Tamandua tetradactyla: one gene and its partner. The protein of the gene in region 1 purifies or fractionates together with the protein of each later gene. This does not show direct contact. Links are inferred from orthologs where the notes say so. Each region holds a gene or a part of one and is shown on either strand. Other genes may lie near its edges. The genes, in order: CD9 and IGSF8.

Region 1 (15,867 bases):
GACATTAACTTCTCCCTCCCCATAGTCTTCAGGGCAGGACCAGAACCGGTCAGGCTGAGCTTTCCAGTCTCCATTTGGTGGGAAGAAGGAGAGAACGTCAGAATGTTGCTGTTCCCGAACAAAGACAAACCTATGTTCCCTGCATTGTGTTATTTCTGCATCAGGGCATCAACACAGAGAACAGACTGGGAGTGGAAAAAGCTAGAGGAAAACCTAACCTAAGAGGCAAAACTTGGCTGGAAGCTCATAAAGTTGGACACCTCATATAGATTAGAAACACAGGACAAAACTCATTAAATTAATCGAGAGTTCAAAGCTATTCCTTGGGCAACGATGAAGCGTAGAGTCAGAGTGAGGATGGGTGGGGAGGCCAGACCTCCCGTTTCAGCTGCTTGCAACCATCATAGGAACTTCAGACTCTGTAATGCCTTTCTCGAAGTTCCCTCATAATTCTCCCATGTCACCCCTGCAAACAGCAAGGCAGCCTGCTTCTCAGGGCAGAAACACTGAATTCAGAACCCAGAAGGGGTTGTCTGGACACCAATGGAGGAAAACCCAGAAAAAAGGCAATAAAATGGGCATTTCCTGGAGGTAGGCCTCATTGGATTCGTGAAATTCCCTAAAAGGTTAAGATCCACTAGACCAAGATGACGACATATGGTGCTTAAAAACTATCCACAGCTAGATTTTTTCTTGGGGTGGGGGTGGGGTGGGTTCGGATGGGGTGAGTGGGAAGGGAAACTACCAGATGGGTGTAATTATTATAAAATTATTTTATTTAGGGCAGGATGAAGCTTTCCACAACAGCTGCATGCCATCATTTGATGGAAAATGAAAATGTCCCTGGACCAGCATTACTTTTTCCACAGAATGAAACAGGCAAGTGAGCTGTAGTTAGGACTAAAAATATATAAATTAAAGAATATATATTATATTAAGATTAGCCATTTTGGTCTCCTGAATTCCTTCAGTTGCAAAGGATCTCTCCTGGTTTGGGGTTCCTACAGGGAGCCTCTACAGGGTCTTATCCCAATTTTCAAATCGTGAAATACTGAAATCATCACCATTCTTCAAGGCTTTGGTTGCAAAGACCCACAGTAGGTCCAAATAAAATCCACTTCATGCCTCCCTGGGGGAGGGTGGCACTCAGGACGTAACTATGCAGAAATAAATAAGGAGACCAGAAGGCTCAGCCTGGCCTTCTCTGGTCCTGCCCCTGGACTATGGGGGATCTAGATTTCTGAGGAGATGATAATCAGCCTGGTTAAGGAGGAGGGAAGACGAAGCAGCCTGACTTGGAGAGAAGCCCAGACTCACTCGACACCAGACTTCACCCTCTTTCCCCCAACCCCACAGTCTACCTGGGAACACGCTTCCAGCCAGGGGGACCCAGCAGGACCCAGAAGCCAAGGAGACCCAGTGACCTCAGAGCTTTTGCCGTCATGGCCAGATGCAGCCAGACAGGCACTGCATCTGGCCTGTGTTCTTTAGAAGAAAAGGTGCTTTTGTAAATCCGAGGTATTATTAAGTTCCAAACTGTGCCACCCAGTCCAAAAGCCACACCCCCTTATAAAATGGAACTGGACAGGAGAACAGAAGAAACAAACACAAGTGCTTTGTTCTGTGTATAAGGGGGAAGATGCACGTCTAACGCTCCTACCAAAAGGAGGGTGTGAGAAGGGTGATCTGTGAGGTCTCGAGCCACAGAAGCCTCATCTAGAAGATTAAGGGCTCTGGGAAGGTGGCCTTATTAAAGTAGCTCCAAATTCGGGTCTCAACCAAGAGCCACTTCCTTTGGGCACAAAAGAGCAGGGTTTGGGATAATGCTGTGGGCCACTGTGAAAGAAAAGGGTGGGGTTTGTGTGTGTGTGTGTGTGTGTGTGCATGTGTGTGTAGAGAACCTCCCCTCATGTGGAAAAAGGTCAGGAATCAGATCTGTACTTTAGACAACCATTATGGGAAAAGGTTGTGTGTTGGGGAGGAGGGTGGGGAGAAACCATAACGCCTCTGGCCAGGAGAGAAGTTGTATTTTCCTCAGAAGATGAAGCTACCTGGCCTCACCTCACCTCTCCTAAACCTGCCAGCCGCAGTACAAATAGCCAGCTTTTCTGCCAGCTCAGGCCTGCCGCGTGCCAGAGGGAAGCCATTTCATGCAACAGTCCTAGCCACTTGCTCTGCCCCAACCAGCTTCTGGGTGGAGCTGCAGGTTGGGGGGCAGGGCCTTTCTGCAACCCTGTCCCCCACCTACTTCATACTCTGCCCAGATCCAGAATCCTGATGTCTTAGGGCTTTTCTGCCATGCAGTTCTATTTTCAGACAGAGCCACCACACAGTCAAACATGTAGCACACATGAAATGGAGTCAGTGTTTTGATGTGGGCACTGCAGAGACAGGGGTGGCCTGAGTGAGGCCAGCACTGGTGCAGGGAGAGAAGGAAAAGAAGGGAGGCAAATGTGTGGGTTCGGAGGTGCTCCTGGCTACACCTGGGGTTCAGACTTCCACACTCCTCAGGGAATTGCTCCCTCCCCTCTTCACTGCCCCAACCAATAAAAACCAGCAGCAATCGGTTACAAGTTTACTGTGCATTTAGTAATCCCCAGAGCTTCATTCGGTCTGTCCTACCACAAACATCTGAAAAATAAGGAAATGGTGTCTCTTTATGGGGAACCCCTAAGCAGAGGGACTCCACCCAGGGTGAACAGGGGGAACTGTGAGATGAGAGGAAAGAGGGGCAAGAATTAGATTTGGAGGTGAAGGCTTCTCAAGTGAAGCTGAGTTCCAAGGACAAGCCTTAGTACTCATGGCATACTTGTGTTTCCTGACTCCTATTTAGGGTGGTGTGGGAAAGTCCCATTGTGTAGGCAGCTGGGCTGGGGGTTGGTTTCATATCCTTATCTTGAAGGGATCTTGAGAGACCATTCGCTCTGACCCGTTCGTTTGACAGATGAGATGTCTGGAGCATAAAAACGACCTTTGCCCAAGGCTTCCAGGTGAAGGGGGCAGAGCTGGCCTAATATCCAGATCTCTGAGTTCTCAGTCCAGTGCCCTGTCCTTGTGTCCAAGCAGCCTCTGTTGGGGTCAGGAGACCCTGTTTCTTGAGAGAGAGAAACCTCTAATATTTCTATCAGAGAGAGAGAATATGGGGTAGAGGCAATGAGCATAGGAGCAGAGGGAGGTAGAGCTCTCTCAGTTCAGCCACCATGCTCCCTTCTTCGCCCTGAGGAGCTCAGCTGCTTGCCTGACCTTGAGGAGGCCTAGGATTGGCCAGAAGGGAATGGGAGATAGAATGGGGCACACGTCCCTAGCCCTGGTCTTCCATTTTACAGCTTGACAAATGTGTGTGATCTATCCCTTTGATACCGGTAAGATGTTTTTCCTCTCCACCTTTTTTGGGGGGTGGGTGGGTAGAGAGGACTGAAGGAAGTGTTCCAGGGGCATTGGGAGAACAGACTGATTGCTAGTTTGGTTGTGGGCATCAAAGGCCTGATTGGGGAGGGCAAGCAGCCCAGGATGGGCTGTCACTGAGTATCCTGTAAGGATGAGAGACGTGTCTGGGAAACAGCACCCACTCCAGCCATCTCCTCTCAGTGTTCTCTGTTCATGAGGCATCAGTTGGCCTCTGGCCCTACAATTCCTACTTCTCAAGGTCCACATTGGTTCCAACAACAAATCTAAAAATTCTTGGTCCCAAGAGAGAAAAGGAAGTGTTGACAGCATAATAATCCAAGCTCATAGGTTTCCTTAAAAGATATTGAGAGCCTCTTCCCACTCTTCTATTTCCACCCAGCATCCAAACCCAGCTTGCAAGGCAATGCATTGTGATGGAAAATGTGCTGGACTCGAAGCCAACAAGACCTGCATTCAAACTTCTAATACTGTCTGCTTTGACTCTGGACAAGCCACTTACCCTCTCTGGAGACCAACTGCCTGATCACAGGAGCATGGGGATAATGCTTCCTGCTCTGGCTACATCATGGGTTTTGGAAAAGAAAGGACTTTGCAGCCTGTAAAACACTGTCCACGTGGATCACAGTATTCCTTTATTCCATCATCTCCTGGGGAACAGGGGCTGACTCTCTGCAGAGACCCCAGTACATGGTAACAGTACAATAATTAACTCAGGACAACATAGTTGCAGCTCACCTCCCTACACCAATCCATTACCTTATTGATTTTGTGATGGTGACGGTGGAGGACAGACTGAAATAGGGGATCTAGGGCTCATGGCCTTGACTTGGTCTCTGGATAGCTGTGTGAACGCGACCAAATCAGATCCTTCTCTGGTTCTCATCTTCCTACAGGGAATATGAGGACTGGACTGGATGGTCTCTAAAGCCATTCACAACTCTAAACCTAAACATTCTGAAAGTGCATCCTTCCTCTTTCAGACTCCATAGCTGACCAGCAGCACCTGGCCCAGGCAGCGGCAACTCTAAACACGAGTGGGTGGCAGGTTGGGGTGAGTAGGCAAGAGCCTGCCAATACTGGAGTGGTCCTGGGCAGATGGGGGGCGGGTACATGGAGACATCATGGCAGTCTGGAATGTCTGTCTCTCTCCATCTCCTTAAACCGTGATGCGGCCTAGGCAGTTAGCTGAGGGTTGACCAATAGACAGTACTGAAAAAGAGAAAAAGTCTCCTCAAAGGACATGGGTGGGGTAGGGTGGCCTTCTTCCAGCATTCTTTTCTGGTGCCAGAGGTTTGGTGAGAGGAGAAAGCCAAGCCACTGGCCAGCCACAGGGACTGACAGGAGCAGGAGGAGGAGGGGGCACCCACTGCAGGCAGGGACTCCCAAGAGAAGACCAAGACTGCAGGCAGGGGCATACTTTTGCACCGTCCTTATTAGGGTGTGTGCGGCACCAATGTAGTGACTCTTAAAAGGGAAGGTCAGTCTCTGCAGGCTGGAGAACTGCTCTCCTACCACCCTTTCAGCTCAGGGGCCAGGATGAAATCTTAGGAGATTTGCCTAGTAATTTGTGGGGACCTCTGCAACCAGCTCCATGGGGATCACAAGCCTCTTGCTGGTAGGGCTCTCCAGACGAGCCTTTCCAACCCTCTTCCTGTCCTCAGAGGGGCAAATATTGTCTCCCTGTGTGCAGGGGATGTGGCCCTCAGAATCAGGACACAAAAGTCCCAATTTCTTGCTTCTGTCCTTGTGTGCTTCCCTAATCCCCTAAGGGAAGGTGTGAAGCAGCGGCTCTCCTTTTCTGTCGTTTCCCTGGGCAGTCCCATTTGCAGACAGGCTGAATGTGGCTGGCAGTGGGTGTCCCAGGAGCGCCCTACCCGAGTGCGCTCTCCAGGTGAGCCGCACTGTGGCCCCGCCTTGCTAATGGGTGGGCGGCGGAGGAGGGGGCGAGGTCACCACCTGATCCCGACCAACCGGAAATGGAGAAATACCGGACTCGGGCTAGAGGCACCGGATAGGGATCTTCCCCTCCTCCTCTCCCCAACTCTCCTAGAGGTCTCACCAGTTAAGATACTTATCGCCCTTGAAAAAAGAAGGAAAAAAAAAAATCCAGACCAGCTCGTCTTTCAAGTAGCTCTGAGGGAGCTCGGACTTTCTCACGGTGGCTCAGCGCTAAAGTCTGAAAAATGGGGGCCTCCGAGGTGCCTCTCGAGGTGGGAGGGGTTGTGGCCCCCCTTTGTTGCCCATCCGGGAAGTGTCGGAAAAACACCTCGTGACAACTGTCATTCGGACACCCCCGGCCGGCGTGCCCCTTCCCCTCCAGCACAAACGCGCCAACTTTGACTTGGCGGAGCTCTCCCTGCTCCACCCCTGTCTTTCCCAGCGCCCGCATCTGCCCCTCCTCGAGTCGCGACCACTGGTGAGACTCCACTCCGGCCGCGAACCGCACCCTACCCACCACCCGCCCCCGCCACGGTCCTCCCTGGCCAGGGACCTTGAGCTCCCAGAAGAGGGGTGCTCCGTTTCTCCCCGCCGCCCTCCCCTCCTCTGCCAGGAGGGGTTCAGGGTGGGAGCAGACACAACCCCAGCCGAAACCCCCCAGCGAAGGAGAGGGCCGGGATCGGTCTCCAGAGCCCCAGCCCACCAGCAACCTCCCTTGCCCCCATCCGGCTCGCCTTCGGATGAGCTCCCCACGACGTGCGCGCCCCACCCGTCTCGGGACTCCGCAGAGAAGCCAGCTGGCGGCCGCAGGGTCTTTTCTTTTCCTGCTCGGTGTCTGCCCGGCGCGGGCAGTGCCAGCTGCCGGCTCTCTGGGCCGCGGACAGTGTCCCTCGGGGACGCGCGTCCTAGGACCCGGGAACAGGTGAGCCCGAGGAGGAGCGTGCGGCAGTCGGGCTCACTCACCCAGAAGATGAAGTTAAATCCAAAGAGCAGGTATTTGATGCACTTAATGCCTCCTTTGACCGGCATGGTGCCGACTGGACAGGACTGGGTCGGACTGGTGGGACGGGGTCGCGCGCCGCTGGGACTGGCAGGACCGGGCGTCACGCAGAGGTGCTAGCGGGTGCCAGCGGGTCTCGGAGCTGCACTTTTAAAAAGTACCACTCCTTACGGCGCCCGGCCGGGTGCGGTGCGCATGTGCGGCGGGGGGGGTTTGCAGACCCCGCCTCCCGGCCCGCCCGCCCCGCCCCTTACCTGCCCCGCCCACGCCCTGCTCCGGGCTTCACCAGGCCCGCGTCCCAGCCGCCCCTTCCCTTTTTGCACTCCTTCCTCCGGCTCAGCGCTCTCTACACTGAGTGGGCCGAACCCTTCTTCCAGCTATCTTCCTTCTTCCTCCGCTTTCCTCCCAACAGTCCTGAGGTCTTCCCAGACCTCCGCTTTTCCCTCCCTCTTGGCTTTGCCGGTGTTGACTCTGGGCATCCCGCTCGAGCTCTCTGTTTCGGGAGACACTCACCAGGTCGTCTGCTCTAAAGGCCCCTGATCCAGGGCTGGCTGCCACCTGAATAAAAGCTTTTACTGCTTTGGCCTCGATATGAAGGGAACTTTCTGGCTTGATTTCTCTCTTGGGCGGTTCCCGGCAGTCTTTCACTCACTGAGCATACTTTTATTTGGCACATTACCGTGGAGTAAAAGGAATTATGGGCTTGCAGTCTAGGTGGGAAGACAGCTCGGAAGTTTATGGAAATGAGCAAATATCAGTCTCCGGGTAGTAACACGGCTGAAGGTTGGGGCAGTCTGGGGGCGCTTCCTGGATGTGTGGTTTCGATGCCCCAAACCGGCTGGTTTGGAAAGCGGAAGAGAGAGGCTTTTGACCAGGTGTTGGTTCTTACCTGGACTCCTTCATCCCACCCTCCCTCTCAAGCCTTGTTCTTTGATCCTGTCTTCTGCTACCTCTTTAATGCTCCAGAAGCCGAGATCTGAGCATGCTTCTCCTCTGCTCAAGAGCTTTCTGGAGTACCCCACATTCCATGGCTTAATACCTCCATTCCACCCAACCCAGAGCCTCACCCTACTCTGCAATCACGTGGCCCAGCTCCGCACATGATGTATTGTGGCCCGCTGGCCCTCCCCTCTTCCATTGTAGAAATTCTAGGGCTCCTTAGATACACGCCCCTTTTCTGATTCTCTCCACCGGATGAGATTCCCCCCTCCCATTTTTTTTGAGCCCTAAATCTCCTTGTACTTTTTTCTTTTTCAAAACAACACTTCCTTTAGTGTTTTCTTGCTATGAAAGCAAAACATGATCCTTACAGAAACATCAGGAAAAAAACGAGGAGGGAAAGGACATAACTTTTAATTTCACCTGCCAGAAAGGGCGTGGTTAGCACTTGTATCTTTTATTCTACTCTGTAGTATTATTTAAAAACTTATCTCATTCATTCATTCATTCATCCATTCAAAAACATTTTTCGGTATCTACTTTTTACATGCAAGAGCTGAAAGAAGGGATTTGGATCTGTCTAGTGGGGAGATAGACCCACAGCCAGACAATGTGCTGAGGGTGGTGTGTGGAGTCATAGAGAACCTGGAGACTAAGAGGACTCATGTTTATTGAGAACCTATTTTGTGTTACATAGTGTGCCACATGCTGAGGATACTGAGATTAACCATCTCTATGCCACATGGAAGAATCCCAGTGCAAGGGGGAGAGACCCATTAACAGACAAGTACAAACCCATGGGACTTTGGGGAAAAGGTGGCCTGGGAAAAAGTGGGGCCCAAGCTCCAAGTCTGCATGAATCAGAGGAGGCTTCTGGACACTGCAGCTGACTTTAGAAGGTGGCTTAGCAGATGAAGTGGGGGACAGAATTCCAGGTGGAGGGAAGAGTATGTGCAAAGGCACAGAGGCATGAAGCCACACACTGGCTGGCTGCCCTTGGGAAGCTACCAGTAGTGGGCAGTTTGCAGGGAAAAGAGGTTTCTCTTCCATTGAACCTGATGCTACAAGTTGTCAAGCAGAAGGAATTTTAGTGATGCTTTTTTACTTCAGTTACTCACGTTAATCTAGCATCCACTGAGGATCATTCACACACAGCAGCCTTTGAGGCACTGTGGGATAGACAGGAAAATAATGTTCCACCGTACTGCATTCAGCCAAGTCCACCGATCTAGAGACAACAGTCTGAGGAAAGAAAATATTTTATCTTTGTAAATCTTTGTTTATCTCTAAACAGCATTAACAAGCACAAATGGGAGGAGTTGGGTAATTGTTTATGCTTAGAATAGAAGCGACTTCTATCGTCTCAATGAGGTAACTAACCCACGTGAAGGTATAGTAGTGCCTGGCAGAGAAGTGCTCAAAAACTGTTGGGGATTGATATTATTTTATACTCAAGAAGCAATTGGGGTGGTCTACAAGTAAGTAACAGACTGCATTTACTCAAGGGAGTCTCTCTAATGTGATAAGGATATTGGATTGGGAGTGAAGAGACCCTTTGGTTTTTTGGGGGCAAGTCACCTCTCTCTGGGCCTCTGTCTGCTCTCCTGGCTCTCTGATGAGTGTTTGGATTAGGAGGTGCAGGCGGTCCCCTCCATTCTGACATTCCATGTGTGGTAAGACTCTGGGCCAAAAGGTGTTTGTTATAGGCTTTTATTGCTACAGCAACCAAGAAAGGGAAAGATGGAAAAAATTTGGTTTGCTTCAACTGGAAGAGGAAAATCTGGGTAAGCCCCTGAGTCAGAGATCACATGGAGGCAGCAAGGCCTTCCAGGCTTTGTGATGCTGGAGTGGGAAAACTTTTCCTCTCTTTCTGGAAACTGGCACCCCACCCAACCCCACTCCCTTGTAGCTAAGGGCCCGCTTTGGTTCTTGTGTGCCCCCTGGTGGTGAGATTTGACCAGCCACACCCATCTCCCTGGGACTGCTTATCCCTGCAGCAGTGGAACATGGCTTTGTGAGGCAACAGGCAGGAACTACACGTTCACAGGCCACCAAGGTTTTCCCTACCAGCACATTCAGTGGTCATCTGGGGCTTGCTTTCTCCTTCATGCTACCATAGCATTTGACCCTGCTGACCATCTGTTCTTTCTAGACACTTCTTGCTCTGTGTTCCTGGTGCTACATCATTGCCTCACTTCCTTTGTTCTAGAAGCATCTTTGCTGCTCCTCTTACTAAGTTTAAATGTTATCTCTTCATGAAGCCCTCCTTGAACACTCCAATCTTTTCCTCCATGAATTACCTTGTTTGAATCTCTCCCCTCCAGGATTCATTGACCTCGATCGTGTTCTCTTGTTGTATACACATTTTGGTGGTGAGTTTCTCTAGAGTCCACTTGCATTTGATTAATTTCTGTATTACCCTAGTCCCTTATTGGCTCAGGGTAGGCCTTCTGTAAATGCTTGTGGAATAACTGGAAGGTGTTGGCTCTTCCTTAGGGGTTAGTCTTCAGCTCTCTGCTCCTCTCTGTCAGCTTTCTCTTCAAGCATTCATCCCCTCTTGTGCCTCCCACCATTTTCTCTTCTTAGCTGACCTCTCTAAACTCAAGTCATGATATTCAGGGGTCTGTTAGACACGTCTAATTTAATGACCTCCTGTGACTGTGGTAAGCAGGGTAATGGTCCCCCAAATATGTCCACCTCTTAGTCTCTGAAACCTGTGAAGACACTACCTTACACGGCAAAAGGGATTTTGCAGATATGAATGAGTTAAGGATCTTCAGATGGGAAGATTTTCTTGGATTTGTCCTGTGCCAGTTTGAAATCATTATGTACCCCAGAAAAGCCATGTTTTAATCCTGAGCCAATCCTGTGGGAGCAGCTATTTCTTTTAATCTTGATTCAATGCTGTAGGATGGAAACTTTGATTAGATTATCTCCATGGAGATGTGGCATGCCCAATTGTGGGTGTGACCTTTTGATTAGATGGAGATGTGACTCCACCCATTCAAGGTTTTGATTAGTTTACTAGAGTCCCACAAAAGGGGAAACGTTTTGGAGAAATCTCAGATGCAAACTCTTGGAGCTGAAGCTGACTCTTGTCAGGTTCAGAGCTGACAGAGACATGGATGTTTGGAGATGCTTGGAGTGCTGACAGAGAGAGCAGATGCCTAGACCCAGGCAGAGCCCAGCAGACGTTGCCATGTGCCCTCCCATGAGATGCTAAGTAAGCCAGAACCCAGAGTTGTGTCCAGGAGGAATGAAGTGAAGGTTCAGAGATGCTTAGAGAGGAAACCACTGTCATCAGAAGCTGGAAGCAACGAACCAGGAACCAGGACCAGCAGACACAGCTATGTGCCTTCCCGGTTGACAGAGGTATTTCAGATGACATCAGCCTTTCTTGAGTGAAGGTAACCTCTTATTGGTGCCTTAATTTGGACATTTTCATGGCCTTAGAATTGTTTGTTGTAATATAATAAATTCCCATTATAAAAGCCATTGCATTTTTGGATGCTGCTTTACGACAGCATTAGCAAACCAGTACACCTCCAATCAGCCCGAAGAAATCACAAGGGTTCTTATAAGGAGGCGGGGAGGTCAGTTAGAGAAGGAATGTAAAGGAAGCAAAAGTTTGAGACCATGTACCAAGGAATGTGGGCAGTGTCTAGAATCTGGAAAAGGCTGGGATACAAATTCTCCTCTAGAGCCACTGGAATAAACTCAGCTCTGTGACGCATTTTAGGTTCAGAACTTTAAGATAAACCTGCACCGCTGTAAAGTGCTAAAACCTGTGATAATTTGTTACACTAGCAATAGGAAAGTAATGCAATTATAGAAGATACACATTGAGATCAGAACTCATAATCTCTGGGGACCTCCCTATACCCGAAGCTGACTTTCTTTCTCTTTGGTCCCCATACCCCTATTTTCCCATCAGTCAGCCTCAAAACCTCTAGTCATCTGTGACTCCTTCCTATCCCTCTAAGTCTCACACATGCTTAGACAATGTGATTTTCTTTCCTTGGAATCTCTCGCGTCACTGTGGTAGGTACTGCGTAAATTGTCCAATATGAAGATGAGCCAAGCCAAAGCAGGATAAAGTGATTTAGTGGAAGAATAAGGATCGGACGCCAGGTCTTCTGATTCCAAGCCCAGTATTAGTTCTTCATGTTTCATTCCTCCTGCCACCACTTATGATGGGGCCAGGTCCTTGCAACCCAACCTCATTCCTGTATCCCTGCCATTCACCTGGCCAGTCTGCACACATCATTGGCCTGATTGCCTTGCAAACTCAGTGGGATTGTCTTGCCTTGGGCTGCTCTGCTCTCACCCATAACTTCTTTTCATTGGCTCGATCACGTGTACAGTCAATGTGGAAACAACCTATGAATAGTGTGAATTTTATGAAGGTTTCATGGATTGCTGGATGATTTCTGCTTATCCCTGTAGCCTTCTCTTCCTCTGGCTTCTGGTTTCTTCTCTTTATAAGGCCTCTAGGAATAGGGATTAAGACCTACCCTGTTCAGTTGTCCACACCTTAAATAAAATAATGTCTTATTTATAAATGGGTCCAAGTCCACAGGAACACAGATTAACATCAAGAGAATGCCTTGATTCATTTGGGGTACATGATTCAATTGACCACATCTCTCTTTGCATGCATGCAGTGATGTCTTTCTGAATCACCTGCTAGACTTGTCAGATATTGTCCTGAATAGCCCGTTTCATGCATCTTAAAAAAAAGAAAGCATTCTTCCTAACTGGATTACTAAATCCTGTTGTTTCTGTAGGTACTTTCCAAACCCTACATAAGAAAATGTCTAAAGAACTAATGCTCGATTGGGCATATATGATGTACCAGTTATTGTTCTGACTGCTGTGTATAAACCCATTTAATCCAACCTTATGGAGTTGATAGTCTTATTAACTTACAAATGGGGAAACTGAGGCACAAAGAGGTAACTTAACTCACTAGAAATCAGCAGAAGCAGGATTTGAACTCAAGTGACCTGGCTCCAGAGCTCAGGTACTAACCTGCCTCATGGAGGGGGCAGTGTACATGTGTGAGTGGGCCTGCTACTGTGGCACTATTCTTTGCCTTTTTTGTCCTTTGCTGGTGGAGGGGGGTGAGGGGGCTGCAGGTGACCTCTAGGGATTTATGCCATCTTGAAGGTGTGTGCTGGTTTAAAAGGAAGTATGCCCCCTAGAAAATCCATGTTTTAATCAAAATCCCATTTCATAAAGGTAGAATAATCCCTATTCAATATTGTATGTTTGAAACTGTAATCAGATCATCTCCCTGGATGATGTGATTTAGTCAAGAGTGGTTGTTAAACTGGATTAGGTGACGACATGTCTCCACCCATTTGGGTGGGTCTTGATCGGTTTATTGGAGTCCTATGAAAGAGGAAACGTTCTGGAGAATGGGAGATTCAGAGAGAGCAGAGAATGCTGCAGCACCACGAAGCAGAGAGTCCACGAGCCAGAGACCTTTGGAGATGAAGAAGGAAGATGCCTCCAGGGGAGCTTCGTGAAACCGGAAGCCAGGAGAGAAAGCTAGCAGATGATGCTGTATTCGCCATGTGCTCTTCTAGCCGAGAGAGAAGCCCTGACTGTGTTCGCCATGTGCCTTCTCACTTGAGAGAGAGACCCTGAACTTCATAGGCCTTCTTGAACCAAGATATCTTTCCCTGGATGGATACCTTCGATTGGACATTTCTATTGACTTGTTCTAATTGGGACATTTTCTTGGCCTTAGAACTGTAAACTAGCAACTTATTAAATTCCCCTTTTAAAAAGCCATTCCATTTCTGGTCTATTGCATTCTAGCAGCTAGCAAACTAGAACAAGGTGTTTTCCAGAAAGCTCACTCTCTGAGTCTTCAGGGCTGATGAGAGGTGGTGAGTTTGTACCTTGGCCCTGCCGCTACTAGTGTCTGTTCCTTCCTGGACCCCCTTTTCCACAGCTGCAGAGCAGGGAGCGTTATGGCTGTCCTGCCACCACGTGGGGTGGGGACAGCTGGGGTCCATGCCCTTTGCATGGTGGGGTGCAATGCTGGCCCTGTTGTAGCAGCTGCAGCTCCCGTCCACTCTATGACTGCTGACCCTGGTTGTTCTGGGAGCTGATCTGGATTAAGGAGGGGCAGCAGAAGCTCTGGTGTGTGTGTGTGTGTGTGTGTGTGTGTGTGTGTGTGTGTGTGTGTTGTGTTCCAGCATACCAGGGTGGAGAAGCAATGAGAAAATGGCCTGGGGTTTGGAATTCGATGTCACAATTCAAAGCCACAGTGCATGTTTACCCCAGAAACATGACTCTACTTCTCTGAGACTCAGTTTCCTCATCCATAAAATAGGCTTTATACAAACTCCTACTTTACTGTTGCTAACAGTAAACGAGATATGGGTATTAGGAGTGGTTAACAAACTGTAAGGGCTCTTACAGGCCTGTTTTAATTTTAGACTCAGGATGGGGCAATGGCCTGGGTTGTTATAAAATGCTAAGTGGCACAATATTGTGGATAGAGTAATCCTACTGAATTCTCCACTTGAATGTGATTAAAATGTGAAATTTTGTGCTCCTTCTTGGTTGCTGCAATAAAAAGTTAAAAAAGATATTTAGATACTGGGGGAAAAAATAGCTCAGTGGCCTCCAGTTTGGGGAGTTTGAGCAGGATGAGCATGGTTTGCTCTTTGAAGAATAAGTTCTCTGTCTTCCGAGTGTCTTTGCTGGGTGGGCTGTGACCTGCTCACTTCTCTGTTTGCTCACCACTCATTCACCAAACACCTACTGGGGACCAGGCCTTGTGGGGCTCCTAGGACAAGCCAGAGCCTGGTCCTCCTCACGAGGAGTTTGTCTCTTCACTGGGGATGTAGGATGTGGTGGACACTGACTGCAAGAGTGAGAGGGAAGGATTAGGGCAGCGAAGGGCTGCAGGGGGTCAGAAACCCCAGAGGCCCCAGCTGGGCTGGTCTTGTAGGGCAGCAGACACACGCCTGGAGGAATGGGAAAGCACTGGGAGGAGAACTTGGTGCAGCCTTGGGTTTAGCCCTTTGCTTCATATTTCTATCCAGCTCAGCCTGAGCTGGTCCTGAAACAGTTCTATCAAGGGGCAAATAAAGTAATTAGATATTTTGTTTGTTTTCAGTCATTCATTTGCTTTTTATGTGTGTGTGAGGGAGGGGAGGGTAACAAAAATAAAACATAAAATTAGTCATTTTAACCATTTTTAAGTGTGCAATTCAGTGACATTAATTGCATTTACAATGTTGTGACTCCACCACCACCTTTTATCACCCAAACTTTCTATCACCCCAAAACAGAAACTCTGTAACCTTAAGCAATAATTCCCCATTCCCATTCACTCAGTCCCTGGTAATTTATGTTCTACTTTCTGTCTCTATGAATTTGCTTATTCTAGATATATCATATAAGTGGAATCATGCAATATTTGTCCTGCTGTGTCTGACATTTCACTGGGCATAATGTTGGAAAGGTTCATCCATGCTGTAGCATTCCTTCTTATGGCTGAATAATATTCCGTGGTATGAACACAACCACATTCATCTGAAATTGGGCGTTTGGGTTGCTTCTACCTTTTGTTTATTTTGCGTAATGCTGCCATGATCATCTGACTGAGTCCCTGCTTTCAATTCTTTTGGGTACATGCCTAGGAGTGGGATTGCCAGGTCTCATGGCCATTCTATACTTAACTTTCTGAGGAACTGATGAACTATTTTCCATAGTGGATGCATCATTTACATTCCCACTAGCAATGCACCAGCATTCCTACTTCACCACATCCTTGTCAACACTTGCTTTTTTCGTGTTTTAAATATTACCAGCTAAATTGGTTTTGCCGACGATATGTGGTACCTACCGCATTTGGCTGACTTTGTCATCTATAAACATCTGGAGGCAGGGCCTGTGTCTGTCTCTCCTTTTGTCACCCCCAATAGGCTCATCCTAGAGGGCAGTGTGTGTGAGTGTGTGAGCATGTGTCTGCATATGTAACACCTGGGGCCTTAGTGTGTAGATTCAGGTAGGTACGGGCAAGTGACATATAGTTAATAAGAACTGAAAGGTGAGAAGTTGTCACTAATGTCCCCCTGTGGCCTGTGGGGGACATGCAGAAAAAGAGACAGCGATTGCCATGGGATCAGTGTCTGCTGATAAATGGAGTCTGAGCTCCGCTGGCTGACCTCTGCTGATACCTACTTTTCCTACTCTAGCGTTTTTCTTTCTTTCGATGCTTTAGCTGTTTTACGCTATTCTTTCTTCCCTCCATCCCTCCTTCCTTCCTTCATAATAAAATGTTTTATTTTAGAATAATTTTACGGAAAAGTTGCAGTGACAGTTCAGCTTCCTGTAGTGTTAACATCTGATGTAACTATGGTACATTTGTTAAAACTAAATGTTAACATTGGTACAAAACCATTAACAAAACTGCAGACTTTATTCCACTTTCACCAGCTTTTCCATTAATTTTCTTTTGGTGTGCCACGCTGCCTTTAGCAGTTTTGCATTACTTTTAATTCTTTGAACTCACTGGGCTTGTTCCTGCCTTGGACCACATCATTCCTTTGTTCACA
Region 2 (16,008 bases), on another chromosome or scaffold:
CCAAGGCTTGGAAGTCATATCCAGTGGTGGGAGCTATCAGCTGTGGAGAAGCTGAGATGTTGAAGAGAAGCTGAGGATCCTGGGGGGCATGGAGGAGAGAGGCAGTGAAATGGAAAGGATGTAATATTGTATGTGGGGGAGGGGATCCTGAAGCCCAGGCCGAAGAGTTTAACTTTGGGCCCAAGAATCCAATTGTCAGTGGCAACTGGGCAGTGACAAGCCGGAGTGAGTGTTTTGGGAAGATGAGTGGGCAAGATGGATAGGAGGAAGTAGTTATGAGGCCTTGGTGTGATCTCTGGGGAGGTGAGAGGGAGCAGAAGCAGGAAGGTATTAATGGCAAGAGATGGCACTGCCCCCCCGCCCCCCCCCCCCCATAGAACTTAAAGGACAGGATTGAATGTGAGAAATCAGGATGGCCTGTTGCCCATCCCACCCACTTCCTGGCCTCATCTGTCACCAGAGACGGCCTCCAGGGATGATAAAGGAACAGCAAGGGCAAATGGAGCAGCAGCAAAGGGTTTAGGGGACTGGAAGCTGGCCTCCTGGGAGACAAGTGTAGGCCAAGGCAAGCAAGCCCTCCAACAAGGGACCCAGACCCACAGCCGCTGGGGCCCAGCAAGGGCCTCCATTTCTCTACACCCACTTCTGTTCTCAATAAAAGCCTGAGCCCCTTGAGGGAAAGCACCCTAGTCTACTCTGTTCCAGGCTTGGAAGCTGGGGTCCTGTGGGGCACAGTGCACCAGGGCCTCCTGGAAGCAGAAAGGAGTCTCAGAAGGAGCCCATCCCAGCTTGGGGCCACGCAGAGAGGGGGCCTGCCCCAGCCCCAGTCCCTTCCCTCCATTCTGGGCACAGACTTTGCCTCGGGTCACAGAGCCACCTGGGTCACTAGCAGTAAAGGTAGAATCTCCCAACCCATGGCATTGGCTGTTCTCCCCCCACAACCGAAAAATAACAACTGGAAGGGTGGGGATAGGGAGTCATTTGGGTTTAATTCAATGAAACAACTGGAGTGTGGACAGTAGGGAGGTGGGTCATTTGCCAACCACACACATACAAAGCCACACTATAGTTAACCCATTGCAATTGAACAGGCAGAGAAATAGGTTGGGACAAGCCCCTTATGGCCCCTGGAAATCACTGAGACCCCACCACACATCTGCCCCCACCACTCGGTCACTGCTGTGAAGTGCAAAGACCACCACACCGAGAGTCAGGTGGCTTGGGTTCTAGTCCTGACAGTGTCACTGATTAACTCCATGACTGGGCAAGTCACATCACTTCTCTGGGCCTCAGTTTCCTCATCTGTAAAAATAACGATTAGCAACTAGTGATGCTTAATAAATGTTTAAATAATTGAATTGAGAGAGGTAGAATGGATGCCTCTTAAAGCACTGTACGGCTAAGAACTCTAGGAACAGAGAATCCTTGGGTAATGGCAAATTCAGGGAGTACCTGGGGGCACTGGAGGAGGGGTGGACCTGGGGGGGGTGGGGGGGCAGGCTATGGGGTTGGGTGTATGCAGGAGCTCTGAGGACACAAAGGCCCTCTCCAACTGTCTTGTCCCACCTCTCAGGCAGCTATGTTCTGGGTTTCTATTTGGCTGCCCTCAGACAGAATAATTAAGGTCTGGAGAAAGGGGCTGAGGCCCCCAGGCTGTGATAGGAGGAGTCAGGTTTACAGTTAGCCAGACCAGGAGAATGAGCCCACAGAGTGTTGTGACAAGTCTTGGGAACTCTACCCTACAACCTGGGGGAAGGCTGGGGGGCGAGACCCAGCTCAGCTGGGCCCCTCCCTCTCTTTCTGGGCACCCCCTCCTGCAACACGAGTCCGTTCAGGCAAAGGCTCAGCACTGACAGCTCAGACAGCAGATGGGACCCAGGTGCCCCCTCCCGGGGTGGGTGGCATGGCCCACAGCGGCCAGATGGTGTTTGTAGTGGGAAGAGAAGCCCGGGTCGTCCGGAATAGGTTGCCAACCCCTAACAGCCTCCCTGCTACTTTTCAGCCTCGTGGCAAGGGAAGACACAGCCAGTCCTGGATTTTATAAAACAAGTTTATTCACATTTTAGAAAAACCAATTCTAGGACAGGGAATGGCCTCTCTATGGGATGGGTATGAGATCAAGAGCAGAAGGCCAGAGAGAGGAGCTTGGGATCTCTCCACTTGGGGGTGGGGGGCAGAGGAGGGGGAAATTGGGGCCTGTCCCCCACTCTGGGTGGGGATAGGTCAAATAAATTAAGGGAAGGGCCAACAAAGGGAGAAGGTATCCAGGCAACCGGAGGAGAGCGTGGAGCTGGGCAGGAAGACGGTGGACACCTGCAGCAACTGGAGAGCGTGGAGTGGGCTCAGGAGAAGGAGCTCTGCAGGGTGCCCCACTGGCCCCACCCATCAGCAGGACCCTGCAGAGCTGAGAGCGGCTGCTCCTCCTCCGGGGGGGGACTGGAGGGAGAGCTAATTCAGGACTTGTGGGTAGAAGGCCTGAGAAAGACAAGGCTGGGGAGACGTTCTGTCCCCTCACCTGGGGAGGGATCATCGTTTTCGCAGTCTCTTCATGAAGCAGCAAGTGATGGTGCCAAGGATGGTGGTGCCGGTGACGAGGGCAACCCCTGTACCCACCAGCAGGGGCACGAATAGGGTGTCCAGAGCTGGGTAAGAGAGAACAGCTCTGTTCAGGCTGGAACGTCGTTGTCTCCACCCCCTGCCATCCTTTTCATCAAGTTCACTGGACCCACCTCCTCCCCACTCCAAGCCCCCCCCCCCCGCCTACTCCGTGCCCTCTCGGCAGCCAAGTCCATGCCAACCATAAAGGACCCAGATGCAGATGGGTAGTGATGGCTGAAAGCTGGATTTTCCAGACTCTTCATGTAAAATGATGAGGATGAGAAAGAGAGGACAGTGGCAGGAGCCTTAGACGACAGCCGGGGTTTGGAGTTGGGAGGGTGGTGATTCACTCACCATGCATGTAGGGGTAGACTGTGACAGGCCCCGAGCGGGCACTGCCTGCCTGGTACCAGCTGTAGTCGGCGTGCTGCACCCAGGCACCGGCTGTACAGTGGTACACGCCTTCATCCTGCGGCCCCAAGCTGTGGAGTCTCAGCCGATGGCTTCGGGGTCCTACCAGCTCCACGCTGACAGGGCCTCCTCCGGGCCGGACCCCCAGCTCTGCCACACCGTCCTGGCCCACGCCACCCACCAGTTGGGCAGGGGCAGGGGCTAACTCCCCTTCCTCCGGTCGCTCCACCCACCAGCTGGCAGCCAGCCTCAGGCCTGGAGGGCCACCCCGCACAGAGATGTTGCAGAACAGGGAGGCGGTCTCCCCCCGGTACACCGTGCCTCTGGCTAGCCAGGCCAAGGCCTCCAGCACCACACCTGCAGAACAAAGGACATGGAGTTGGAGGGTGAAGGGTCAGGGGACATGGGGTCAGGGCTGCTGTCAAAGCAATACTCCAGGGAACTCAGGATGTTGCCACAAAATCGGAAGAAGAGCGTGAGACCCTAAGGCATGGAAGCTGCTGACGGGAGAAAGGCTAAAGCAGGAGAGAGGGCATGGAAATAGAAGGAAGCACCTAAGAAGCACCTAAGCTGTCAAGGGGCCGACATCCCCTTACCTACCCCCAGAAACCTCTCACCTTCTTCCCGAACGTGCACAGGGAGGGGTCGGGAGCGGGCACTGGCTGCTTCACGAAGCCAGGCCCCAGACCCTCGAATGTAGGCTTTGGCGAGACAGCGGTAGGTACCCGCATCGCCCGGCCTGGCGGCCTCTACCCGTAGCCGGTAGGTTCTGGGCGCTACCTTCTCCATGGCAATGTGCCGGCCCTCGTAACCAGGGCCTAGGCTGCCCACACCCTCTGTGTCCAGCTGGGCTACCAGATGGCCAGGCCCCGGCGCCCCCGCTGGTGCCATCTCCCAGCCCACAGAGTATGCAGCATGACGGCCTGGCGGGGGCAGTGCCCCCGACACATTGCACAGCAGCTCCAAGGGCTCCCCTGGGCCAATCCGACGTTCACCAGGCCCCACTGTCACGGCCAGCTGGCTGGCTGAAACAAAGGAGGGGGAAAGGGGTATTATGGAGGCAGAAGGGGGGCCAGAGGCTTCTGAGTCCCCAACAAGAGTTCTTTCCTTGACAGTGGCAACATGGAGGCCCCCATCTGCCCCTCACTGGGTCCCCCAACTTCCACGTATAACCACCTTCTCCATTCAGGGGTCTGAGTCTCATCCCTCAGCTATGGTTCTCCTAACTCCACACCCAATTTCTAAGCAGAGAAAACCCATCATGGGTAGAGAGGGAAGTCATGCCAACAGGGCTGCTCAGGCCAGGGCAGACGGATTCCCCGGAGTCAGATGGTGGCCCTCTTGCACCCCCAATGGCCATGGTGCCCACTGAGATGCATCCCCTTCCAGCGCCCACCCTGGAATGTGTGGATTGTGGGACTCACACAGCGTCTGCACGTCCACGTGGGCCAGGACAGCCCGCTTCTCCCCGATCTGGGCCCAGCTGCCATCGGGATCTTGAATCCACTCGGTGGCAGTGCAGTGGTAGGTGCCTGCATCCTCTGCCCGGGTGCCCCCCACCACCATACGGTACCGATCAGTCCCCTCTTTGCCCAGCTGCAGCTCCCCGGCAGCCAGGCGCTCAGCATAGGGAGCACCGGCCTCCACAGCCAAGTCTGGACGGAGTCCCACCACTTCCTGCAGGGTCGCTCGTCCCACTGGCACCTCGGGCACAGCGCGCCCAAATGACACCGCCAAGTGCGTGTGCTTCTGTGTGCTCGTTCGTGCCAGGCAGCCCAGTGCCAGCTCCTGCCCCTCGTGCACAGTCAGGCGAGGGGGTGAAGTTGGGGCCTGGCGGCCTCGGGGTCCTGGGGGGGCAGCAGACACTTGCAGCATATCTGGAAGAACTGGAGAGAACAGCTGCAGTGAAGGAGGGGTGGGAACTAGCAGCTCTTCTTACTGTTTCCTGTGTATCCAACCTTTTTCCCTAGTCTGTGACTTCCTAGAGGACAAAGATGGCATGCTGTATTTCTTCCATAATCCACACGTGCCAAGCACAGTGCTGGGCACACCACAAGCGCTCAATAAATACTTGTTGAATTTAATAGAACCAGCCTAATCCTACTTACTCTGTTTCGGACTGCCCTCCAAGTATTTTTCTGATATACCCAGAAAAAGTGGCTCTGTCTTCCTTCTCAGAAGACAAAGAAACTTAAGAAAGTGAGAATGTCACATGATCTAACTTCTCCTACTCTACCTCTACTTTGTCCCCCACTCGCCCCCCAGGAATCTCCAGGGTGGAGTCATTCAAATCTCAGGCTACAGGGACTAGAGAAGGGACTGACCAGCTTACGGACACCTCTCCTCCCATGAAGTACCCTGACTCAATAAGAGCGATGGACAGAATGAAGAGATCTGGATTTGAGTCCTAACTTGCTGGGGAACTCTGTGCAAGTCAAATAACCTCTTGAGACCACAGGTTCCTCAGGACAAAATCTGAGGGGTGGTTAGATAACTCTCAAGTCCCTCCTGGTCCTGACTATCTACTTTTAGGGTGGTATGGCCCTGACCCCCCACCCAGGGCCCAGTACCTCTCAGCTCCACCTTGCCGCTATAGCTGCCCAGGTAGCGGGAGTCCGTGGAGGGCGTGTAGCACTCGTAGATGCCGGCATCCTGGGTCTGGAGGCGGGTGATCTTGAGCGCTACAGCATCACCCTGCAGACGCTGCACCTGCACCTCACCAGCCGCCACGCGGGGCCCAAAGATGGCGTAGGAGAACCGGGTGTCCCTGGTGCTGACAATGCCCAGTGCGGCCTCTGGGGCCTCGGGCCTGTACAGGAACCACTCGAAGTCCTGCTGGGCAGGGCCCTCGTAGCCACTGACATTGCAGGAGATGGAGACAGCTGTGCCAGCCACGCGGTACAAGGGTCCCTCGGGGACTAGCACCTCCCGGGCAGAGCATCCAACTCCTGTAGGGCAGGGCAGGAGAAGGGGGTGCCTGGGTCACCATTCTAGCCCCACCACTGCCAACCCATTCTTGACCCCTGCCCATGAATGCAAAGAAACCTGAGGGTAACTGGCAGACAGCTTAGGTCCTGTTCTGACAGCAGGGAAAGGATGCTGGGAGGTAAGACACCTAGGTCTCAAGAAAGGGGTACAGGCCCAATCTTGCCTCAAAACCCATTTCTGGAAGACAAGAAGCGGAGTCCCTAAGGGCAGAAAGGGAAGCTTTGATATTGACTTAGCAATTCCAACTATACCTATCTATGCCTACCCCCGACCTCCCACTTCTACTCCCTACTTCCCCTCTTCCCCCAGTGTCTGCCATTACTCCACCAGAGCTTGGTCAGAGGAGCCTTCTGGCTAAGGAATTCTGAGACCACCTGTCTCCCCTCCCTTGCTTGAAGGGAGCTGACAAACTCTTGCTCAAAAGGGCTGGTTGACTCAACTGTGTCACCTGGGCCAAGAGACTCCAGACAATGGAGCCAGCGGCCCAAGCCGAGACAGGGCACAGACCCAGTCAATTCTCTTGGCACACAATGCCCTCCCCCTCCAGCTGTGCCATGAGCTCACTGTTTCTCCCGCCCCACAGGGCTGCTGAGACATCTGGGGCTTCTGGGGCAAGAAATAGGTTCTGCCCTGGCCTCCAGGGGCAGACGATCCCCTCCCCAGCAACTGCCAACCTTGCAGGCTGGCCCAGCTGCACAAGGCAACCCCCCACCCCCACCCCTCAACTCTCTAAGGAAGCCTACATTTGCATAGAGTGGGCATTCACTCACATATGGCTTCCTTTCTGTAGACAGGCATCTGTCTCCCCAGAGGGGCCAAACCCTGCATCTGTACCCTAACTCCATCTCCACATTCTACCCAGCCCCGGCAGAAAGTCCTGGCAGCCTTGGAGGGCTCAGGTTCTTTTTCCTGTCTTACCATCCTTCCATAGCCCCCACTAGAGAGGATCACAGAAACCCAGAATGTAAGGTCAGCCTCCTTCCCCCATTTTACAGATGTGAAAGGTAAGGAAAGAGAACTATATAGTTTGGGCCAAGATCCTAGGGCCCCTGGGTGACTTCGACAGGCCCGTCCAGGGAGGTAAAAGGGGAGACTCCAAGGCGACGTCTGAGGGGACTGACCTCACCACTGGTCTCATTTCCAGGCCTTCCAGGGGGTTACCCATGGCCTTTCTGCAGGGGATGGAGGGCAATGCCACGAGTCTGTGGTCAAACTCCGCCACCCAGAGCAGCTCCTCCTGACTTCCTCTCCTACCCCAGCCAGCCTGCTGGCTCCTTCTTCCTGTGGCTGAGTCACTGGGGCAAACTCACGGTTGGTTGGTTGAGCAGAGGCTGGGAATTGGGACTCCAGCTGGATGGTCTGAGGCCAGTCCCTTCCTTTGCCAGGCCTCAGTTTCCACATCGGAGAAGAGCAGAGAGCCTCCAGCTCAGAGAGTGAGTGAGTGTGTGACTCAGGAGGGCCCTGCCTGAGGCACGTTTCATAATCAGGGTGATGGGCAGAGACTGCCGAGCTGATAACTTCCCCGGCCAGTGCCTTAGGGCAGACTCTGCTCAGAAAGGTTCCCTCCCACCTTCCTGGCTCCACAACTGCTGATGCCTGGAGATCCCCATGGGAAAGTCACCCCCATAGCCTTAGGAAATCCAGCTGCCACATGTAGTTCTCTCTCTCCAGCCAAGTCCCCTCCTCTCCTCCACCAAGGAGAGGGGAGGGAGAACAAAGAGGCCTGCTCTGGAGAGACTGATTTGAGTTCAAATTTGACTCCAGCTCTCACTAGGTATGGTATGTGGGGCAAGTTACATTTTCCTTATTGGTGAAATGACGCCATTTGTGAAATGAATGTCAGCGCCATATGTGGTGGATGCGCAGGGCTGGGCCGGCTCCTCTTCCATCTCTCTGTATCACACTTCCCCACCTCCCTTGGGCTCCTCTTTGTACTGTACTGCCCACTGGGAAAAAACGATATCTGTGCTAGGCAACAGGGCCCCGCAGCGCCTTCCTTTCTGTACACCCTCCTGCCTTTGGTCCCAGAGCTCCATGGAGAGGACTCCTCTTTGCCATGGAGGGCCCACGGCCCTATGTGACAGGTGGATACTCAGCTTAGGGCTGCTGTGGAGCTCTGAACTAGGAAAAGGCAGCTGGGGCTAGGTGTCTGCCTCGACTAGGGCAGCTCCAAATCCTGCCACCGGAGCCACCGCTACCAACACCCCACCCCTCACCCTCATGATGCCACACTCCTCCCCCAGTTCACCTCCTACAGGGAGCCCTCCAGTTCAGGCCAAAGCAACCCCACTGTCACTACCTCCATGCTGCCACTCAGGGGTGGTCCAGAACATCCCACCATAAACACCCCACCACAATAGATAGGGTGCTTGGAGAGCCCAGGATCAGTCTCCATGGGACCTGGGTTCTGAGGCCGGGAGGCTGAGACTTTAAGGGGTGTGATGACCAGCTAGGGGCTGCAAAACCAAGTGGCATCTGGGAGAGGGGAAGAGGGGCAAAGAGAGACCCAGTGCAGGGCAGAGGGGGTGAGAGAGGGGACTGGCCCCAATCTGAGATAATGAAGTGGGGAGGGGGTCAATTAGGGGACTTATTCAAAGATCATGGGCAGAGCCAGCCCCGGGGCCTCCAGCTAACTCGGGGGCAATTATGAAGATAGGCCGGCACCACACAGGGCGAGCACCCAAGGCCACGCCTGAAGCTGAGCTGGGGACAGAGATTCCAGGGCCTGGGTAGGCCGGCTGAGAAGTGGGGCCTGGTCCCCGGAGGCCTGGTGCTGCCTCGGGACGGCACTTTGGGGGGGGTCCTCGCTGCGCCCCAGCCCCAGGGCCTAGAGCTGGGGTGCTCTCACCCTCCCCAAGACTGCCTCAGCGGGCGGCCACACAGCGCAGCTGGGCACTGAACCCCGGGAGGCCGGAGGTGTTCCGACGGAGAAAGCGGGTGCGAGGGGAAACGCTGGAAGGGTGGGCCGGGCTGGCTGCCGTTGGCAGGCACCTGCCCGGCGAGCTGGTGCCAGGGGCCCGGCTTACCCAGCATTAACAGCAACAGCAGCAGCGGCGGCGGCGGGGGTAGCTGCGTGGGGCCGAGGGCGCCCATTCTGCGCGGTCGGCTCTGGGGAGGCTCCGGGGGGCGGCGCAGGCTCGGGGGGACCGGGGGCGCGGGGGGCGCATGCCCAGGTGGGGGGCACGAAGCAGAGCAGCGAGGCGTGGGTGAGCTAAGCCGAGCCGAGCGGCAGAGGCCAAGCCGCCTTCCTCCTCCCCTCCTCTCCTCCTCCTCCCACTGCTTTCCCTCCCGCCCTCCGCAACTCCCGGAGACGCTTCCCGCCCGGCCCCGCCCCCTCCGTCCGGCCCCGCCCCGCCCCGCCCCCGCCCCATCTCAGGCTCCGCCCTCTGCCCCGCCCAGTCCAGCCTCAGGCCCCGGCTACCGCTGCAGCCCGGCAGAGCTGGCGGCACCTCGGCTCAAACACATTCACACCCGCCCCGCACAGGGGGCATCCCCCCAACCCCGCACCTGTCGGCCTTTCCCTGCGAGGTGGGTGCGGGGATCCGGGGGTCGGTGAGGTGACTGTGGCCACGCACTTAGAATTCAGTTATTTTCTCTGGGCCGCTAGGCCGCGCTGCAAACCTTGAAATTGGGAATGGGGGGAACTCAGGCGTTCCGAAACCTAAAGGGTCTGAGCTAGAGGGCGCTTCGAGGGTCCCGAAGGTCAGGGGAGACCTGTCAGCCACTCCCTCCGGGAGCAGAACTAGAGGAGAGTGGGTGGGAGCGTGGGTCGTCGGGCGCCGTGGCTTCCCGGTTGGGTGAGCCTGGTCAAGCTGCTTAGCCTCTTTTAACCTCAGTTTCCTCCTCTGCGAATTGAGGTCGAGGACATCTACCCTGAAGGGTCGTGATTAATTGAATAATACACATAAAGGCCTTGCCACTGGGCAACTGGGCGAAATAGGAGGTAGGTTTTGTTTTTTAAATCACTATTTAAACTGCTTCCTAAGAGGCTTAGTTTCGCCCTAAGGGGAGGATAAGCCTGGGGCTGAGGTGAAGGGGTCTCTGTTTCTGGTGAAGAGGGATGGACTTCACCCTGCGTTGGGAAGGATGGGGCCTGGCCTGGAGGTGGGAGAATTAGAGGAGGCTCTGGGCTCGGTCCCCTCAACTATTGAGAAGGGGGAAGGGTAGGAGGGGTGGGGCCAAAATCGTGGGAAGAGACAGCCAGGTCTACAAAGCTAAAGCTGTCAGGGTGGCAGTGGATGGAAGGGTGAGCTCATCTAGCAGCCCCCACCCTTCACCCATTTTTTGTCCATCCACCCCTCTTTTATAGAGGAGGAAGCAGGCCCAGAGAGGGGAAGTGCACAGGCCAGACCAGACCTTCCTTAACTTTCTGTTCCCAGAACTTGGCACCGCACCAGCCTCAGAGCAGGCGCTCTGTGGAGTTGCCTCTTGAAACCACTTTCGGAGCACTTGGAGAGCCTGGAGGAGCTCTAGGCGGAGTGCTGCAGACCCGGAAAGGAAACCAGACATCCAGCCCTCCCCTCCCAATACTTCCAGGACTGAGGCAGGGACAGGGCAGAAGAGTACCTGTTGATTCCCACTTTGACATATTCACAGCCTACTTTCTCCAGACCTGTTTTCATCTAAATCATCTGCAGGCCAGATTGAGCTATGTGAAAGCTGAAATTCAGAGGAAAGTTTTTAGAAGAAAACCATTCTTTCTTTGGGGGCTGAGGTGGATTATTGCCTTCCTGAAGCTTAAAGAATGAGAGATATTGCCAGTCGTAGCAATAATAATAGTTGCCATTTATGAAATGCATATACAGAAAGGCCCTTTTAGATATTCTTTCTTGCCTTTACTAGGTATTGTGCAGGATGAGGCCATTTAACGAATGAGAAACCTGAAGCTAAGAGTGGTTAAGTAACTTGCCCAAAGCCACACAGCTTGTAGGTGGTCAAAGTGTGACTTGAGACCTGGCTTGTCTGTCCTCAAAGCTCCAACCCCTTTGTCTTGCTTCCCAAGCCCTCTCCACCCTATAAACCCATTATTTCACAAATACTGATCTGGCCAGGCCTTGTGCTGGCTACTGGAGAAGCCACGGCAGACAGGGCCAGCATGGTCCCCTGCCTTCAGGGGACAAGTAATAACCAAGCTCCAGCCTGCCTGTTACGAGAGGGGATGCTCAGGGAGCTGAGGGGCCATCCTTCATCCTACGGCCTGGGACTGGGAGGGACAGGTAGGTGCTGAGGGCTGGGCCGAAGTCTCCAGCCAGGTTGAAGCCTGGGAGAACCGCAGCTTCTTCCACACGCCCCTGTGCGCACGGAGGGTTCCAGAGACCGTCAGCAGGGGGAGCCCAGAGCCCAGGCCTGACTCACTAGTCAGACACTTACGTAACTGGGAAGCCTGGGGGAGGCGAGCCAACGCCAGGCACGAGGCAAGTCACACACACCCAGACTGTAAAGGAGAGGGGCTTTGCACAGAAAGACGTCACACACACACACACACACACACACACACACACTCCGACAGAGCCATGCATATATGCATACAAAACCCTGAACAGGCTGCAAAGGAGGACCATGTGGTGTAGACATGAGGGCACCCCTGGACCCATCCATTTCATCCCTAAAAAGCACCACAGGCTTACCCAGCACCCAGGTCGGTGCCCTGCAGTGGGATGAGCAGAGAAAGGAGGAGGGAAGTCTTCAGTGAATTTCGAGCCAGGCAGAGCCACGAGGCAGGCAGGGGACCCGGGCTTGCAGAAAGTCAGTGGGGGGTGGGGGTGAGGGGGGGTGCAGCAGCAACCATGGGGAACACAACTGTGGCCGCGCTGGGCTGTCACTGTGCAGTGACCAGCTGCTGGCTGCCCTCCATGTACTGCCAGGGGTGCACATACGTCGGACACTCGTCCTGTGTTTCACATGCTTATTTTAATTCATTACCCCTCAAGATCATGTGTGTACAAGGCGCTGAGGTGGTACTGAGGTGGCATGACTATCGCTAAAGATAATTTAGACCAACTCTGTATCCCAAAGCAGTTAATCTGGCTGAGATGGCACAGTTAACGGTTGCCATGGAGACAGGGCTATCAGAGAGAGGGACACCTTCATAGATAAGGCACTTTTTTTGACCTGTGCCAAGTACGTAACTCAGCCTCATTAAGTCCTCACCAGAACCTTGTAAGGTTCGTGCTATTAATATTCCCCCTGAGACGCTAAGGGACTTGTCCAACATTAATGGGCTCATTATTGCCCAAACTTGGATTTGAACCTAGGATTGTCTGTGGATTATGTGTTTCTAACCCCTGTTATCCTGCTTCTCAAAGATAAACATCACTGGAAACTAAGTTAAACATGGACACAGCACACACAAGTACACGCTGAGCTGCGGAGGCAGGTGTGGCCCTGGAGACAGGGTGACAACGCCGTCAAATAAACAGGGGCACATACTACCAGACAGACGTATAGAAATGACTCAAACCTGCCTGAAACACTCAGCTTTCTCTTCCCAATATGTGTAAATCCCAGCTTGGTGGGGAGCTAAAGATCACACACGAGAATGACCTGTAATTTTTGTGTGCTTATAAAGCCTTGACCCGTACTGCCCTGATGAGCCATATTTTCCCATCCTCCCACAGGGAGAAGGTTCTCTGCTGCGTTGCTGAGAGGATCAGGCGAAGAAATAGAGGCTGAGGTAGAGCCAAAAACCTGCCCTCACCCTGACCATGTGCTTAGCAGGAACCTGCAGAAACAGAGGTGCACACCTGGGGACCAGGCACACAGGAAGATAAACACACAGACCTGTGCACACCAAACACGCTCACAGGACCACAAACCATCCCTTTCACACACATGCACATACATACATTCACACTCGATCTTCTCCTTCCTTCCTCCCCGGTGGACTCGTGTGTGTGTGTGTGTGTGTGTGTGTGTGTGTAGCTACTCCCTGAACCCACCTCTTGCCCTGGCTGAGCTTACTCTCCAGCCCCAGCTCACAACCCCCATGCCAAGGGGACGGCACAGCAATCCAAGGATGGGGTGCCATGGTGCCACTGCTGGCCATGACCTCTGAGGAATCAGAGGCCCAGCCTGGCCCTGACCTCTGAGGAATCCTATGCCCAGGATTCGTGTTAGCTGCCACCCACTCTGGAATGCCAGGGATGGGTCCCTCTGAGCCAGAACCCCCTTGGCCTCCCTCCCCTGATGAATTCCCCCATCCCCAGCCCCATCGGGCTGGGAGGTTGGGCTCCACCCCAGGTGCTTCCCCATCCCTCTCCTCCAGTCCCAGCCAGGGCAGACGGAACTGACGGTGCAGATATACATCTAGAGGGTGGTACAGGGCCAAGGCAGTCCACACAGTGTGATTTCACTTCTCCCCGAGCCTGGGGTTCGGGGATCAGTCGAGGGCAGGAGAAGGCATCGGTGTGTTAGGGTGATTGATGCGAGGAGCTGTGGGGGACTGGAGGTGGTTAGCACAGCTGCTGCCTCTGAGTCAGTAAGGCTGAGCAAGAGACAGATTCGGGGGCTGGGTCATTTACAGGTTGTCTGCACCCAGCTCCGAGTGAGGTGAGAGGGAAGCAACACTAATTACTAATACTACCAAACACCTACCCTCCACTAGGCACTTCTTAGCACTCGGCACGTGCTCACTCAGTGTTCACAGCAACCCCACGAGCTAAGTACTATTATTATCTGTGTTTTACAGAAGAGGAAACAGAAGCACAGATAGTTATATAAACTACCTAGGGCTACAGAGCTAGCAAGTGGTAGCACCTGCCTTCAAGCCCAAGCTGTTTGACTCCTGAACTTAAGCTCTTAAGATTCTTCTGCCTCTTGCTTCTCTAGCCAGCTCATACTTTCTCACATATGCACATCCACCCACCCACCCACCCACACACACACAGACACGCACACAACTGGTGACTCTGCAAACTTATGAAATAACAAATGTATCTCCAGCTCCTGGCACATCGCGGATTTCCAGTATATGTTTGTTGAATGAATGCAGTGCTGGGTCCCAGGAAAAGAGGAAACAATGCAGAGGTTGCACGTGTGTATGGTGGAATGGGGGGAGGGGGAATGAAGGGAGATTGACAGTAAAGCCCCGTTTACTAAATTTACCTTGGAGGCCTGGGGCTGAAACTGTCTGATGGTTGGGCGCACTTACACACGCGTGTACACACTACACACACATACAGCCCTCTGCTGCAAACGATATAGAAGACTCACTTCTAACTCTGGGGTCCCAGCCCTGGAGGGTGCCTCGGGTGGGGAAGGAGGAATGGAGCTGGGGTGAGAGTGGGTTGAGGTGGGAGAGTGCCTTGACTCTTCTCTCCGATGAGAGCACAGGACAGGGGAGGGGGTGGTGAGGTGGAGCTCTGGGAGGGAGGTCTTGGGGGGGCATCACCTCATCTCTGGAAGCCAAGCTCAGTTCCTCCTGAGTTTTCACCCCTTCCTGCCCCAGCGCTGCAGGCTCTTTCCGCCCCCCTCCTGTCTGCACCTGCACTCCCCAGGAATCTGGCACCCTCTGGCTATTCTGGCTAAAGAGTGGACGATTCTCCTCTCCCTTAGTCCAACTGAAACAAGGGTGGAATTTTTCCAAAGACTCTCTGTGAGGAAAGTGACGGAACAACAAAGCCAGAAATAAAGACTACTAAAACAAAGAAACAGATGGAGCAGTGGGGGTGAAGGAGCTCACCACGGGAGAGAGTGTGAGCACAGATTCCCTCCCCGCCCCGCCCAGCACCCTGACCTCGGGCCTCTGCCTACAACACAGAGTTTCCCACTCTGTATTGTAATTACAAGGTTTGTTTACATCTGCCTCTCTCCGCTGGGAGCAACTCAAGGCTACTTGAACTCCTTTCTGTTCTGCCCCCATGCCTAGCACAGTGCCTGGCAAGGAGCAGAAGTCCAGCAGATATTTGCTGAGAGAGTGAGCGAGAATGAGCAAGTGAGTGAGTGACAAGAGAGGGAATCTACTCCTTTCTCTGGTGGCTAAAACACCTCCATGGTGGGCACTAGTCCCCTCTGGAGTCCATCTGATTCTGGTCATTTCCGTCCATAGCTGGTGGAAACATCTTTTTAGAGTCTGGCTTCCTGGGCAGCCTGGGAAGGGATGAGGTCTGTCCTTTGAGGAGGGGAGAGTGCTGGTGATCACAGACAGCACACAAGGAACTTGCAGTCCCAAGGCCAGGACATTGGAAACCAAGGATGGTAGCTAACCATCACTGAGCACTTTTGTACTCAGAATGACTCTCTGAGTTAGAGATGTTAAGGAACTGAAGGTCAGAGAAGCTAAAAAATCTATCTAATTAATGGTGGACTTAGGATGTCATAACCTGGCATTCCGACTCCATAGCGCAAACTCTTAGCCGTGTTGCCACGCTGCCTCTGTGTAGTGTAAATGGTCACGTAGGGAAGACACGCGTGGCTGGGAAGTGACAGGGTGTGTATGGATCCACCCACCTGGCAGGACAGAGTGATGGTGAGTCCGCGTGAGCAGGCGTGCTCACTCCAGGTCTTCAGAAAGACCCTTGGCATGGAGGATCCCACCTCCTGAACCAGAGCTCCTGGGGGAAGGGGGCTGGACAGAACAAACCTAAAAATTAGGACATGAGGCAGGTTACCAATCCGGAGCTCAGGTGAGGAAATGAAATGGAAGCTTCTTGGTCCCAACTGAGTCAACCATTTGGGGCTGGGATTCCAACACCAGACGGCACGCTTTGGCTTCAAGCAGACTTCTATTTACCCACTGTGTGGCCTGGACCTTGCTCCTGACTTTCTCTAGCCTTGGTTTCCTTGGCTGTAAATAAGAATTATAATAGCACCGGCCTCGTCGTTTTTTGAAGGTTGTCGTGCAGATGAAATGAGAATGTACATGTGCTGGTTTGAAAGGATATGTACCCTAGAAAAGCCGTGTTTTCATCCTGAGCCATCTTGTGGAGACAGCTGTTTCTTTGAATCCCGATTCAGCACTATAGGTTGGAAACTTGATTAGATTATCTCCATGGAGATGTGACGCACATTGTG

The links.
Region 2: the proteins of CD9 (region 1) and IGSF8 purify together in Homo sapiens (affinity purification with mass spectrometry; 5 studies listed by BioGRID and IntAct, counting the BioPlex papers as one, with this or other methods). This does not show direct contact. The link is inferred for Tamandua tetradactyla from reciprocal best matches to the Homo sapiens genes CD9 and IGSF8.

The regions. Positions count from the first base shown.
Region 1 is NC_135333.1:68,452,589-68,468,455, reverse strand, and holds the start of CD9 (CD9 antigen), read right to left. Parts: upstream 6,541-15,867; 5' UTR 6,376-6,540; coding exon 6,310-6,375; intron 4,032-6,309; exon of another isoform or gene 3,908-4,031; intron 1-3,907. UniProt on the Homo sapiens protein: Integral membrane protein associated with integrins, which regulates different processes, such as sperm-egg fusion, platelet activation and aggregation, and cell adhesion.
Region 2 is NC_135330.1:13,133,442-13,149,449, forward strand, and holds IGSF8 (immunoglobulin superfamily member 8), read right to left. Parts: upstream 8,170-16,008; 5' UTR 7,399-8,169; coding exon 7,308-7,398; intron 5,958-7,307; coding exon 5,580-5,957; intron 4,896-5,579; coding exon 4,434-4,895; intron 4,035-4,433; coding exon 3,627-4,034; intron 3,367-3,626; coding exon 2,953-3,366; intron 2,643-2,952; coding exon 2,527-2,642; 3' UTR 2,516-2,526; intron 2,437-2,515; 3' UTR 2,037-2,436; downstream 1-2,036. UniProt on the Homo sapiens protein: Member of the immunoglobulin superfamily (IgSF) that links tetraspanin-enriched microdomains to the actin cytoskeleton and plays several important roles in innate and adaptive immunity.